Saccharomyces cerevisiae S288C: one gene and its partners. The protein of the gene in region 3 interacts with the protein of the main gene of each other region in a biochemical or structural test. Each region holds a gene or a part of one and is shown on either strand. Other genes may lie near its edges. The genes, in order: SLD3, DBF4 and RAD53.

The links.
Region 1: of the proteins of RAD53 (region 3) and SLD3, one has a biochemical effect on the other in vitro, tested with the Saccharomyces cerevisiae proteins (4 studies listed by BioGRID).
Region 2: the proteins of RAD53 (region 3) and DBF4 form a complex in vitro, tested with the Saccharomyces cerevisiae proteins (6 studies listed by BioGRID, with this or other methods).

Annotation. Positions count from the first base shown.
Region 1 is NC_001139.9:293,884-298,919, reverse strand, and holds SLD3 (Sld3p), read right to left. Parts: upstream 2,989-5,036; coding exon 982-2,988; downstream 1-981. Other genes in the region: TATA-binding protein-associated factor TAF6, read left to right, coding at 1-742; YGL114W (uncharacterized protein), read right to left, coding at 3,283-5,036. UniProt on the Saccharomyces cerevisiae protein: Required for loading and maintenance of stable association of CDC45 with chromatin during initiation and elongation of DNA replication. Also involved in temporal regulation of origin firing. Required for the association of PSF1 with origins.
Region 2 is NC_001136.10:559,026-564,061, reverse strand, and holds the start of DBF4 (protein serine/threonine kinase activating protein DBF4), read left to right. Parts: upstream 1-3,436; coding exon 3,437-5,036. Other genes in the region: PST1 (Pst1p), read right to left, coding at 1-535; SCF E2 ubiquitin-protein ligase catalytic subunit CDC34, read left to right, coding at 1,735-2,622. UniProt on the Saccharomyces cerevisiae protein: Regulatory subunit of the CDC7-DBF4 kinase, also called DBF4-dependent kinase (DDK), which is involved in cell cycle regulation of premitotic and premeiotic chromosome replication and in chromosome segregation.
Region 3 is NC_001148.4:261,879-266,914, reverse strand, and holds the start of RAD53 (serine/threonine/tyrosine protein kinase RAD53), read left to right. Parts: upstream 1-2,722; coding exon 2,723-5,036. Other genes in the region: mRNA splicing protein PRP46, read left to right, coding at 1-735; peptidylprolyl isomerase RRD2, read right to left, coding at 811-1,887; YPL152W-A (uncharacterized protein), read right to left, coding at 2,215-2,313. UniProt on the Saccharomyces cerevisiae protein: Controls S-phase checkpoint as well as G1 and G2 DNA damage checkpoints. Phosphorylates proteins on serine, threonine, and tyrosine. Prevents entry into anaphase and mitotic exit after DNA damage via regulation of the Polo kinase CDC5.

The DNA of each region.
Region 1 (5,036 bases), on a different chromosome or scaffold from region 3:
ATTTATTGCCGAACAAATCACACAAAATCTTTCCGATTTACAATTGCTAACAACAATTTTGGAAATGATTTACTCTTTACTAAGCAATACTTCTATTTTCCTGGACCCTTATATTCATTCGTTAATGCCTTCCATTTTAACCTTGCTATTAGCAAAAAAACTTGGTGGATCACCAAAAGATGATTCGCCGCAAGAAATTCATGAATTTTTAGAAAGAACGAATGCACTACGTGATTTTGCCGCATCTTTGTTGGACTATGTATTGAAAAAATTTCCTCAAGCATACAAATCCCTGAAGCCAAGAGTAACTAGGACACTGCTAAAGACATTTTTGGACATAAACCGTGTTTTTGGGACTTACTATGGGTGCTTAAAGGGTGTATCGGTACTAGAAGGTGAATCCATCAGATTCTTCTTAGGAAACCTAAATAATTGGGCGCGCTTGGTATTCAATGAAAGCGGAATAACTCTAGACAATATAGAGGAACATTTGAACGATGACTCCAATCCAACTAGGACCAAATTTACTAAAGAAGAAACTCAAATCTTGGTTGATACTGTAATTAGTGCATTGTTAGTTCTAAAAAAGGATTTACCAGATTTGTACGAGGGTAAAGGTGAAAAAGTTACGGATGAGGATAAGGAAAAATTGCTAGAGAGGTGTGGTGTCACTATTGGATTTCACATTTTGAAAAGAGACGACGCAAAAGAATTAATTAGTGCGATATTTTTTGGCGAATAGTGAGAATCGGTTTATACTAATAGTACAACGGTAATGTTATATAACAGTTTTTACATACGCCATTGTATGTATATATATATATATGCATGATGAGTTATTTAATTGTATACTCAAAGGCCCCCGAAGTGCGAAATTGTTGTAGCTTAGTTTTATTTTATTCCCTTTTCGTCCAAGAAAAGCTACAAAGATGGAGTTGGGTCAACTACTTGCCAGCGAAGGTGGTCTCGCAGTTTCTTATTCTATGTGGATTCTGGAGCAAATAAACGTCTTCTTACTCTCCTTTTTGAGCTATTTTCCGGGGGCTTATTAGTGGGAGTAGAGGTAATATTGGAGGTATTTTTTCTGCCTTCATGCGTATCATCATCCTTGAAATTTAGCGGCGATTCAATGATGCTTTGAAGTTGCGCCTTTTTATTAGGTGTCACAGTTCTTTTTTTCACAGCAGGAGTGGCTTGAACTTGTACGTTTTCCTCAGAGTCTACACGTTCATGTAGGCGTATCGTTTCATTGATATCTTTACGTTTCCCAACTCTGCGAAAAGAGTTATTCATAGTTTTGTATGCATTAATAGTTGAGTGCGAGAAAGGCGTTTTGAGTGTGATAGTTGATGAATTCGGTACTCTTGTTGTGCTTAAGTCAGAGACAGAAAACTGCCGTTTTTGTAAATGATTCATCGTTAGATCAGACTTCGTCCTTCCCAATTGTGAAGGGCGCTTTAAGCTTCTAGTTTCACTTTCGAGAAATTCATTCAAGTTAGAGTTCGTTCTAGAATTCAAAAGTTCAGGGGTGGGCGAAGCTATAGATTTTCTGCTGAACAAATTAGCGTCCACCCTTCTCAATGCGGGTGAAGATGGGACGGAATTAATGATTGAAGAGCGAGAGGCACGTTGACTCGTGGATAACCTGTTATACGTTTCTACAGTATTAGGTGACGATACATTTGTGCTATCGTTGACCTTTTTCAGGGCTCTCTTTGGTCTCATGCTTGGTCCCTTGAGCTTTTGAATTATAAATTCAACGGCGTGTGGTACCTTTTTGTTGAAATATGGAATAAGAACATAATTTATGAACCCAACCAATGAGGCTTCTTTGCTTTTGTCTAGGATATTTTTTTTATGCTCTTGTATTGTTCCATTTGATGCTTCTATGGCATCTGGGTTGGGCGTTTCACTTGATAGTAGAATGTCCAAGATGCATGCTCTATCTAAGTACAAGTCTAACTGTTCACAATAATCCAAAGATGTTGTTATTCTCTCGATTCCTTTGTCTTTTTCGCTGGTTTTTTTCTTCGATCTTCGACGAACTAATCCCTTTTTTGTCAAATTAAGTGATCTTTTCTTCAATTTTAATTTATACTTTTTCTCAAAATCTCTAAAATTCCAATCTAAATCGTTCAATCCTATTATCTCTAATAGCAATAATATTTGTAGCTTTATTTCGCGGGATTTTAATACAACACATAAATCAGCAATGGTTGAGCTGTTTTTGTTTTCATCTTGGATAACAAATTTTGTGAGACAGTTCTTCCTTTTTTCATCTGCTATGGGACTAGAAAAGGGCTCTAATAAAAGCCTGTTATCATGTCTATCTTTGAATTGTACAATTGAGAGAAGAAATTTTTGCAGCATGGCTTGATAGGCTATTTTGTAACTGTCACTTCCGTACTTGGTTCGGCAGGTATTTTTGAGCCTTACTAAATTTGACTTGACGAAATATGCGAGAGGCGTATGTATGGAAAAAAGAGCATCATAATACTTACTTTCTATGTACTCTTTAGGGTCTGAATAGTAGTCATTAATTTTTGATTCGCCTTTCATATCTGGGGGATTCATATCCAGTTTAAGGTCTTTGTCCTTCTCAAGCTTACACGAGCCCTTGGGTTCTTCTGACCATAAATGAAGAAGCTCTTTAAATTTCAATTCGTCCCATGTTTTTAACGTTTCACGCTTAGCTCTTTCTCTTTCAACTGTCGTTACAACTTCCGTACGCCTTTCTGGTAAGCTGTAACCATTGAAATAATTGTACGGCCACTTAACCCAAAATCCTGGCCCATATTCCTCTAGTAGAAAATACTCTTTTCTTGATTTCATGCAGATGTGTTTCAATTGACGTCGATTCTTCTGTTGCAGTAATTGGAGAATGTTACTGGGCACGTCCTCGGATTTAATAATAAGTGGATGATCTAAGCTCAAGTCAAGGCCTTTTGTTGCTTCTTTTACCGATGCTATGACTTCCCATGTTTCCATTATGAGAGGTCAGATCGTTCCTACCTATACGATCTTAACCCTTCAGCAGTTATGAATGAGGCTTCTGCCTGTTTTAACAGTGCCCATCACTTTTTTTTATTTTTCTTAAATGGACCATGTTGTACACCAAGATAGCCGATATTTCAAGGTCGCGTATAATATAACATTTTGCCTAGGATTTTTGTCACCTAGAAATATATATACAGGGAAATCTAAGACATCGAATTATGTGATGAGTAAATAATTTAAAATTTGTAAACTTTGTAAATTCTTTATTAGTAAAATATTATATACCTAATAGTGAGGGACATTTAAGCAGATGAAGAGCATGTTTATTACGCTAAAGATACCTTCACCTAAGACCAACCCCGAACTGAATACAATCATTTTTGTTTTCGCATTTAAGTCACCCCTATGATTCTTCAACCAAAAATGCGAAGCCCACCCGCCGATGAATCTTGCAATTGTAAAACTGGGAGAATTAAATATACCAACACCGACTGCTACACCAGACGGAATATATAATATCCACCCGTATCCGTAATCTCTATAAGTGTTTCTGATTAATGATAAAACGGCAAATATGACTCCGAGAATCATGGAGCACTCCAAGGCCTTATCAGGGAGCCCTTTACCAGTTACTAGTCTTGCACAATCTATCCACACTACTGCTGTCGGTATCCTGAATTGCTCACTCGGAATTGAATAAACTTTATTGTAGCACAAATACATGAAGCTAGACAAAATAATTGACCAACAGGCCCCTATCAATTGGGCACAGAACTGAGCTCTTGGGGAGGCGCCGAGGAGGTGCCCCGTTTTCAAATCCTGCATTAAATCGCCCGCCTGTTGGGCAGAGGCTTCTGCAATACCTCCCGATACCACGTTCATTAACACTGATCCAGGTCTATCCCTTGGTATGATAAAGGCAAAAATCAATTGAGAGATCTTACCAATGCCGCTCACAGGATTCAGATCGGTCTCTCCAAGTGCTCGAATACCGAGAATAGATAGAAACAACGCAAGTATCAAAGCAGTGATAATAGCATATAGGGGAATTACTTGTATCCCAAACAAATATATTATGGAAACAATGCATATTATCGAGGAGACTAGACATCCACTGATAACGGTGGTATAGCGAACCAAATGCTTCGAATCTACTTCTATTTCGTTATCTCTACTCACTAATCTTACGGTGTCCTGCCTTCCATCAACATATGTATTTCTTCTGCTGCTATTAATGGCGCGTTCCTCCTCCAGTAACATAGATTGAAATGTATCATCGATTATGTTGTTCAGTAAAGCAGCTTTGTCATCTATAAGAATAAATTTCACAATGGACTTCACTGTCACAACAATAAAAGCGACTACACTGTCAGCAACCATTATTGAAAGCGACGACCAAAGAATCCATCCTTGCACTCCCTCCTCCCAGTCGTGGACATCAGCATCTGGTGGTACCCATCTTTTGTATCTCGCCAATGGTGCTAACACACCCCAGCCTAAGAAGCACCCGATAAGCATATACGATACTGTTGGAAGACCCATTATTATCCCTTGGCCTATATACGCAGGCGACGGCTGAAAATTCCAGAGATAATTGTTCGAGAGGTATTTTCCGAAGACTGGAATAGACCGTATTACCGGTACAAAATATGACACCATGGTGTAAAGCGAAGAAACAACAAAAGTTTTCAATAAAATAATAATATTCGCTCTGTAGTTCTCAGAGCCAGTAGAAAGGATAGAACTTCCATCTTGGCTAGTTGCCGTATAATCACCAAGTTCGCTATGAGAAGAGTTCATTAAATAATCCGCCTCCTCTGGATCTCTGTTGGGTTGTAGCACTTCAGGGCATTCATTCAATCTCCTCTGCCTCATTTCCAATAACTCTGACTTAGAAACCTCTTGTAAAATCTCAGTTCCATTTAGCACTGAAATTAAAGTGGCCGTGGCGCTACCACTGGGGAAGGGAAGTTTCTCTCTAACAATTACTTGCTTTCTTAGAGGAACTGCAAAAAAAATACCGAAGAATGCTAGGGCTG
Region 2 (5,036 bases), on a different chromosome or scaffold from region 3:
TGATCGAGGTTAATTTCTTATTGTTATTGACGTTGAACACGTTAACTTTTTTCAAGGCTGAGAATCCATCGACAGATTGTAACGAAGTGTCGGAAATATAAATGTTGTTAGCAGATTTGATATTTGAAGTAAAACTGGAGATGGCGGGTAGAGTAATCAGTTTTATACTATCAACGCTCTGTAAAGACCCAAATGAAGCAGAAGTCAAGATTGTCAAACTCTGTAGGTTCAAAGAATCTGTGATGGACTCCAAGGAATCAGCAGCGAATGAGGTTAGATTTGTAGCGTTAAATATAGTTAGAGACCCGTTGATTTCTTTAACATTAGCCAAAGCACCAGTCTTCAAACCACCACCAATAGTTAAGTTCCCGACTAACGTATCACAGCGGCTATATTTATCTAAGTCACTCTGAGCTGTGGCCGTGGCATGTGAGCTTATGGTACAGGAAGAGGGTATGCTGGAAGAAGAGGAAGTAGCAGCCAAAGCTGACGTTATTAAGAGCGCAGTTGAAGCGATAAGTGAATGTAATTGCATGATATTTTTATAGCGAGCTTTTTTTTTTTGCTTCTCTCTTGGATTAGATCTATTGCAGCGTGATGTACTGTAAGATTCTATTGAACTATACAGAGCAAGAGTTGAATAGAGAAGAATATGCACGCTATTTATATGTTTATCTGTAGAGCATATATGGGTTTGCTCGTAAGGAACCTTGAGCGGTTGAATGATATTACTTAGAGTTAATGCTATGAAAACCCAGCCCAATCATTCAACATTACTCTTTGTAGTAATAAACTCTGATCAAAGTCCGAATCAGGGCAGTGTGCCTACGCTATTTTTAGAGACTCGTAACACTATTAAAACTAAAAGCCCTCTCTACTAATTAAGATATCCCAGCTTTGTGGTCTTTTTTGGGTTTCTTTGGTTTTTTTCCCTCAAGGATACCGAAAATGCGGGCCTTAATTTAAAGCCTTTTCCGTAAAGAGAAAACAAAAATGAGTTGGCGGGTCAACGGGGAGTGCTATTTTAAACGACTCAAATACATTTGAAAAAGAAAAAAATAGCCGCCCAGCTCCCACGTGCATATCACGTGCATTATAACCCGGTTTTCAGATAATAGAAATCCGCTCACTCTATTTATTTAAACGCTTTCTTTCTTTTTTTTTCTATTTATGGGGCCCACCCGCGGAAGAAAAGAAAAGCGGGCAATTACTAATGCGGGTTCAGTCCAAAGGAGATTTGATGTGGCAATAGCATCATAATGATGGAACCTACGTTAAGTGCGTTAAATAGGGAGAACTGTTTGTCACTTTATTCTTGTATACCGCTCTTAGTAATGATTTGTTTATGCTCTTTATCGTAACCTGCGCTTACAAAACTAACCACGTGCAGCATCGTCTTGTGTTTGTCCGTCCCTTGGGGTTCTTCGGATTTTCTATCTCCTCTTTTTTTTTCCTTACACTTTCATTTTGGGAAAAATTCGATTCTTTTTCTTTGATTTTTTTTTGGTTTCCTCTTGAATCTGTAAAGAACAAGAGCAGAAACTTAAAGTTAAGAAGGACAATAAAGAGCATACTATTACAAAATAATAGGAGCTTTGCGTTTGTTATTTCAGTCGAATAGTACTCCTTTATACTCTCTGCCGCTGACATCTTTGTCCTTTACTGTTTAGGACTTATAGCGACTGTTATTTTTTAGTACACCAAACAAGGAAAAAAGAACAATACAACGTAAATATGAGTAGTCGCAAAAGCACCGCTTCTAGCTTACTGTTACGGCAATATAGAGAACTTACTGATCCTAAGAAAGCTATTCCCTCATTTCATATAGAACTAGAGGATGATTCAAATATTTTCACTTGGAACATAGGTGTTATGGTGCTAAATGAGGATTCCATTTATCATGGAGGGTTTTTCAAAGCTCAAATGAGATTTCCGGAAGACTTTCCCTTTTCTCCACCACAGTTTCGATTTACGCCGGCTATCTACCATCCAAACGTTTACAGGGATGGCAGGCTTTGTATTTCTATTTTACATCAAAGTGGGGATCCTATGACCGACGAACCTGATGCTGAAACGTGGTCCCCCGTGCAGACCGTGGAAAGTGTGTTGATCTCTATAGTATCTCTATTAGAGGACCCCAATATCAACTCGCCAGCAAATGTCGATGCCGCTGTTGATTACAGAAAGAACCCTGAACAATACAAGCAAAGAGTCAAAATGGAAGTGGAAAGATCGAAACAAGATATCCCTAAAGGTTTCATAATGCCCACTTCTGAATCGGCGTACATATCTCAAAGTAAACTAGATGAACCAGAATCGAATAAGGATATGGCGGATAATTTTTGGTATGATAGTGATTTGGACGACGATGAGAACGGGTCCGTCATTTTACAAGACGACGACTACGACGATGGAAACAACCATATCCCCTTTGAAGATGATGACGTTTACAACTATAACGACAACGACGACGATGACGAAAGAATCGAATTCGAAGATGATGACGATGATGACGACGATAGTATAGATAACGACAGCGTCATGGATAGGAAACAACCCCACAAGGCTGAAGATGAAAGTGAAGATGTGGAGGATGTAGAAAGAGTTTCAAAGAAAATATAAAAAAGAACAGTAAGAAAGAAGACAAAATTTAACAAAACATATTCAGCTCAAACGCAAAACATGAATCAATTTATACATACGCGATACGTTGTCGATAAAGCACTTTACATTTTTCCCTATGATAATCTGAGATTGACAGGGGAAGAAGAAAATAACTAAGTGTCGAAGAAAAATTTAGAAAAATTAATTCATCATCCCATTTTACTTCTCGCAGTACACCGTACGAAAGAAGAAGGTAAAGAATTGAGAAAAAAAGTGTATATCATTACATTACTTTACACCACCTTATAACCACAAACGTGTATATTAAGAAAGTTTTTTAAAAAGAAAGAAATAAGAAAACCAAATCCGTCCCACTAATAGTTTCTAAGTTACTGTACTTTTTTTTTTTGAATATATATCACCATACATATGTATATAAATATATATTTGTGTGTGTGTGTTTATATCTATATCTCTTTGCATCTAATTCCTCATTACCTTTTTTATTTTTATTTTCTTATCGGTTCTTGGCTAACGCCTAAGTTTCTTTTAATATTTTACCCGCAGTAAGTAAATGGTTTTTTTTTTGCAAACGCGTCTTAGGTCGATCTTTGCGAAAAAGAAAAAAATAAAGAAATAACGATAATAATAACGGTAATGGCTCAGGCCAAGAAAAACAAAAATCAAGTTGCATAGTCTATACTCAGCCAGGTGTAGATTCCTTTAGATCTGAATTCGCTTGCAGGGCTAGTTATCTTCAGAATTCAAGGTTTGAATCTGAAAGGCATTTGGAATTCTGCTTTTGGTTCATATTTAGAAAAGAAAGAAGAAAATGGTTTCTCCAACGAAAATGATAATAAGGTCTCCGTTAAAGGAAACAGATACCAACTTGAAACATAATAATGGAATTGCCGCATCAACAACAGCAGCGGGCCACTTGAATGTGTTTTCTAACGACAATAATTGCAACAATAACAATACCACTGAATCCTTTCCGAAGAAAAGATCTCTTGAGCGCCTCGAGCTCCAACAGCAGCAGCATTTGCATGAAAAGAAAAGGGCCAGAATAGAAAGGGCCAGGTCTATTGAAGGCGCTGTCCAAGTCAGCAAAGGTACGGGTCTGAAAAATGTCGAGCCAAGGGTTACGCCTAAGGAATTGCTGGAATGGCAAACAAATTGGAAAAAGATAATGAAAAGAGATTCTCGCATTTACTTTGACATTACTGATGATGTAGAGATGAATACATATAATAAGTCCAAGATGGACAAACGCAGAGATTTATTGAAAAGAGGGTTTCTTACATTGGGTGCGCAAATAACTCAATTTTTTGACACTACTGTCACAATAGTTATCACAAGAAGGTCTGTTGAGAACATATATTTACTAAAAGATACCGACATTTTATCGAGAGCTAAAAAAAACTACATGAAAGTTTGGAGTTACGAAAAGGCTGCCAGATTTCTGAAAAATCTTGATGTTGATTTGGATCATTTGAGCAAGACTAAATCTGCTTCTTTAGCTGCGCCCACATTGTCCAATCTTCTACACAATGAAAAATTATATGGACCAACGGATAGAGACCCCAGAACTAAAAGAGACGATATTCACTACTTTAAATATCCTCATGTATACCTTTATGACCTATGGCAAACTTGGGCCCCCATAATAACTTTGGAATGGAAACCTCAAGAACTAACAAACTTAGACGAACTACCTTACCCAATATTGAAAATAGGTTCATTCGGAAGATGCCCTTTTATAGGGGATAGGAATTATGACGAAAGTTCTTATAAGCGCGTAGTAAAGAGATACTCGAGAGACAAAGCAAACAAAAAATATGCACTGCAACTTCGTGCTCTATTTCAATATCATGCCGACACCTTACTGAATACGTCATCAGTTAATGATCAAACGAAAAACCTAATATTCATACCTCACACATGCAACGATTCTACCAAGAGCTTCAAAAAATGGATGCAAGAAAAGGCAAAAAATTTTGAGAAGACCGAGTTAAAGAAGACGGATGATAGCGCAGTTCAAGATGTTCGTAATGAACATGCTGACCAAACCGATGAAAAAAATAGTATATTATTAAATGAAACTGAAACCAAAGAGCCTCCGTTGAAAGAAGAAAAAGAAAATAAACAATCTATAGCAGAAGAATCGAATAAGTACCCACAGCGAAAAGAGCTGGCTGCCACACCAAAACTAAACCATCCAGTATTAGCTACTTTTGCAAGGCAAGAAACTGAAGAAGTGCCGGATGATTTGTGCACTTTGAAAACAAAGTCACGTCAGGCATTTGAAATCAAAGCAAGTGGTGCACATCAATCTAATGATGTGGCAACCTCTTTTGGCAATGGTTTGGGCCCAACAAGAGCAAGCGTCATGAGTAAGAACATGAAGTCATTAAGTAGACTAATGGTTGATA
Region 3 (5,036 bases):
TGCTGGGACCTAGAGAAAAACCAAATTATTAGAGATTACTATGGACATTTATCGGGGGTTCGTACGGTGAGCATACATCCAACGCTGGATCTCATAGCTACCGCAGGCCGAGATAGCGTTATCAAACTCTGGGATATGAGAACCAGAATACCTGTTATTACACTAGTTGGGCATAAGGGTCCAATCAATCAAGTACAGTGTACTCCAGTAGACCCTCAAGTGGTGAGTTCATCGACTGATGCTACGGTAAGGTTATGGGATGTAGTTGCTGGGAAAACAATGAAAGTTCTAACACATCATAAGAGGTCTGTGAGAGCTACAGCGTTGCATCCTAAGGAGTTTTCGGTGGCTTCTGCGTGTACTGATGACATCAGATCATGGGGATTAGCAGAGGGGTCTTTACTCACCAATTTTGAGTCTGAAAAGACAGGCATAATCAATACTTTAAGCATTAATCAAGATGATGTATTATTCGCTGGCGGTGACAATGGTGTGCTTTCCTTTTATGATTATAAGTCTGGTCACAAATACCAATCGTTGGCCACGAGAGAAATGGTAGGCTCTCTGGAAGGTGAACGGAGTGTTCTTTGTAGCACTTTCGATAAAACAGGTTTAAGATTAATCACTGGAGAAGCAGACAAAAGCATAAAGATTTGGAAACAGGATGAGACGGCTACAAAAGAGTCAGAACCGGGGCTAGCGTGGAACCCCAACTTAAGCGCCAAAAGATTTTAGTGGGAGTAGATGGAAAAAGTACGTACCCTGTATACGTGTATATACAATGAGATAGCATCTATAAATGGACTTTTCCTAATCAAAAGGTATTGGTTTATGATGTTTTTTATTCATCTCAGTAGCCGCAATAGCGCTCGGTAACTTTATACCACAGCAGTCTCCCCAAGTAGTATGAACATGTCCTTCAAAATTGCACTCATCATCCTTATCAGTCCCATCATGTATGTGGCCTCTTGGTGGAGATACACCATCCGGACAAGGCAAAAACTCGCTAAAGTAAAAATGTTGCATGATGGGCAATTTACTAAGGACTTCGGCTTTATACATTTTTATCATCCCTTCAGCAACTTTTGACCAAGTCTTTACACCGCTGATGTCATCTAGCATAGGAGAATGCCATCTCAAGGAGGCGGATGACTTGACCTTATTAATAAAAGCGATACAACCAAAATATAAGTACCGATGAGCGAACATTTCTACGAGCTCATTATTGTGAATTGATATCGGCTTTAAGTGCTTGTGGGTGGTTAATTGGAAGGCACCAAATAGAAATGGAAGGAAATGATAATCATCTAATCCCCAAACACCATGAGAGCCCGCAGGCTCAAGCCAATATTTAGTTTCTAGTATCCTCATTATTTTAAGGTATTCTATAAAAACTTTCAGCACGAGGTTAGTTGAATCGTTTGAAAGATTGAATATTCCATAACTATAGAGTCCATAAAGTAAACACATGAAATTTAATTCATGACCTGAACCATAATCAATTCTTCTTTTATTTCCCCATGATTCATCTAGATAAATCGATAATTGTTCCAACTGCTCATCTGTGAGAGAGGGAAATTCGGAACGTAAGATCTTCCTGGAATTCCGTGAAACTTCGTCATAAAAGTCCCTAAACTCAACCTTACCAAATCTCGAGCTATCTGCATCCTTTATTACTGGGTGCTTCTGAGTGATATCTTTTATTTGCGAAAGCAAGTTCATCATACTGTTTATTGACTCCGATATTGGTTCTTTGTACTGGGAATTCTCATGTCCTTTGACAGATTCAGCCAAATCTATAATAAATTTAGTGAAATGAGCTCTTGTTGGGGATTCTTCCCATAGTTTCATATCGTCTGGAGTCAATAGTCTCTTTTCTGGCAACATCTTTTTCTAAATATTTATATTGTTCTTTACGGATTGTTGTTTATGGACTGTTCTTTCTGCACAGGCGACTAACATAAAGTACCTCTCTCTTGTCATTGATATCCCTTTTGTTCTATCACATCCGTTAGGATTTTATTCTGTGCTTACTCACGTGAAAGAGAGGGAAGAGTGTAAAAGTTACCCGAAAATCTATTATGGCGGCTATTGTAGTACGTCCAAAACAACGTATTTCAATGTAAATTCAAAGCAAACACTGAGAAAAAACAAAAACTTACTTATTGGTTCGCTCAGCACCTACCTAAATGGTACTTTTAGAATGATACTGTATTATCTACCGTGGTATCGGCAACTATAGGACGGAGATAAAGCATGCCAAAGTAATTCTTCCTTTATTAGATGAGATTTCAGCGTGAGGTGAACCATCATTTGTTTGGTTGGTGCATTAATAGCCTGCTTCCTTTTAATTAAGCCGGAAAGTGTTTGTCACAGATGTCAATGAAACGTGCATCTATTAACATATTTATTTTCATTTCGAGGGTGAGGTGGTGTGGACGCGTTGATACGGCAACGGGAGTGACGCGTAAAATTGGCAGAAAAATCATCACCGTGGGTAGACTTGGAAATGAAAACATTTATAGAATAAAGGTACAGGTTGAGAAGATAAAGGGTACCAAAGTTACCATTTTGAAATCTCTGATCAAGAAAAGGTAAGAAAGCAGAAAAGGACGGTAGAGATTATTGGAAGACAAACTAATTTTGTATATGCATTCGATTTTCTTAAGCTTTAAAAGAGAGAATAGTGAGAAAAGATAGTGTTACACAACATCAACTAAAAATGGAAAATATTACACAACCCACACAGCAATCCACGCAGGCTACTCAAAGGTTTTTGATTGAGAAGTTTTCTCAAGAACAGATCGGCGAAAACATTGTGTGCAGGGTCATTTGTACCACGGGTCAAATTCCCATCCGAGATTTGTCAGCTGATATTTCACAAGTGCTTAAGGAAAAACGATCCATAAAGAAAGTTTGGACATTTGGTAGAAACCCAGCCTGTGACTATCATTTAGGAAACATTTCAAGACTGTCAAATAAGCATTTCCAAATACTACTAGGAGAAGACGGTAACCTTTTATTGAATGACATTTCCACTAATGGGACCTGGTTAAATGGGCAAAAAGTCGAGAAGAACAGCAATCAGTTACTGTCTCAAGGTGATGAAATAACCGTTGGTGTAGGCGTGGAATCAGATATTTTATCTCTGGTCATTTTCATAAACGACAAATTTAAGCAGTGCCTCGAGCAGAACAAAGTTGATCGCATAAGATCTAACCTGAAAAATACCTCTAAAATAGCTTCTCCTGGTCTTACATCATCTACTGCATCATCAATGGTGGCCAACAAGACTGGTATTTTTAAGGATTTTTCGATTATTGACGAAGTGGTGGGCCAGGGTGCATTTGCCACAGTAAAGAAAGCCATTGAAAGAACTACTGGGAAAACATTCGCGGTGAAGATTATAAGTAAACGCAAAGTAATAGGCAATATGGATGGTGTGACAAGAGAGTTAGAAGTATTGCAAAAGCTCAATCATCCAAGGATAGTACGATTGAAAGGATTTTATGAAGATACTGAGAGTTATTATATGGTGATGGAGTTCGTTTCTGGTGGTGACTTAATGGATTTTGTTGCTGCTCATGGTGCGGTTGGAGAAGATGCTGGGAGGGAGATATCCAGGCAGATACTCACAGCAATAAAATACATTCACTCTATGGGCATCAGCCATCGTGACCTAAAGCCCGATAATATTCTTATTGAACAAGACGATCCTGTATTGGTAAAGATAACCGACTTTGGTCTGGCAAAAGTACAAGGAAATGGGTCTTTTATGAAAACCTTCTGTGGCACTTTGGCATATGTGGCACCTGAAGTCATCAGAGGTAAAGATACATCCGTATCTCCTGATGAATACGAAGAAAGGAATGAGTACTCTTCGTTAGTGGATATGTGGTCAATGGGATGTCTTGTGTATGTTATCCTAACGGGCCACTTACCTTTTAGTGGTAGCACACAGGACCAATTATATAAACAGATTGGAAGAGGCTCATATCATGAAGGGCCCCTCAAAGATTTCCGGATATCTGAAGAAGCAAGAGATTTCATAGATTCATTGTTACAGGTGGATCCAAATAATAGGTCGACAGCTGCAAAAGCCTTGAATCATCCCTGGATCAAGATGAGTCCATTGGGCTCACAATCATATGGTGATTTTTCACAAATATCCTTATCACAATCGTTGTCGCAGCAGAAATTATTAGAAAATATGGACGATGCTCAATACGAATTTGTCAAAGCGCAAAGGAAATTACAAATGGAGCAACAACTTCAAGAACAGGATCAGGAAGACCAAGATGGAAAAATTCAAGGATTTAAAATACCCGCACACGCCCCTATTCGATATACACAGCCCAAAAGCATTGAAGCAGAAACTAGAGAACAAAAACTTTTACATTCCAATAATACTGAGAATGTCAAGAGCTCAAAGAAAAAGGGTAATGGTAGGTTTTTAACTTTAAAACCATTGCCTGACAGCATTATTCAAGAAAGCCTGGAGATTCAGCAAGGTGTGAATCCATTTTTCATTGGTAGATCCGAGGATTGCAATTGTAAAATTGAAGACAATAGGTTGTCTCGAGTTCATTGCTTCATTTTCAAAAAGAGGCATGCTGTAGGCAAAAGCATGTATGAATCTCCGGCACAAGGTTTAGATGATATTTGGTATTGCCACACCGGAACTAACGTGAGCTATTTAAATAATAACCGCATGATACAGGGTACGAAATTCCTTTTACAAGACGGAGATGAAATCAAGATCATTTGGGATAAAAACAATAAATTTGTCATTGGCTTTAAAGTGGAAATTAACGATACTACAGGTCTGTTTAACGAGGGATTAGGTATGTTACAAGAACAAAGAGTAGTACTTAAGCAAACAGCCGAAGAAAAAGATTTGGTGAAAAAGTTAACCCAGATGATGGCAGCTCAACGTGCAAATCAACCCTCGGCTTCTTCTTCATCAATGTCGGCTAAGAAGCCGCCAGTTAGCGATACAAATAATAACGGCAATAATTCGGTACTAAACGACTTGG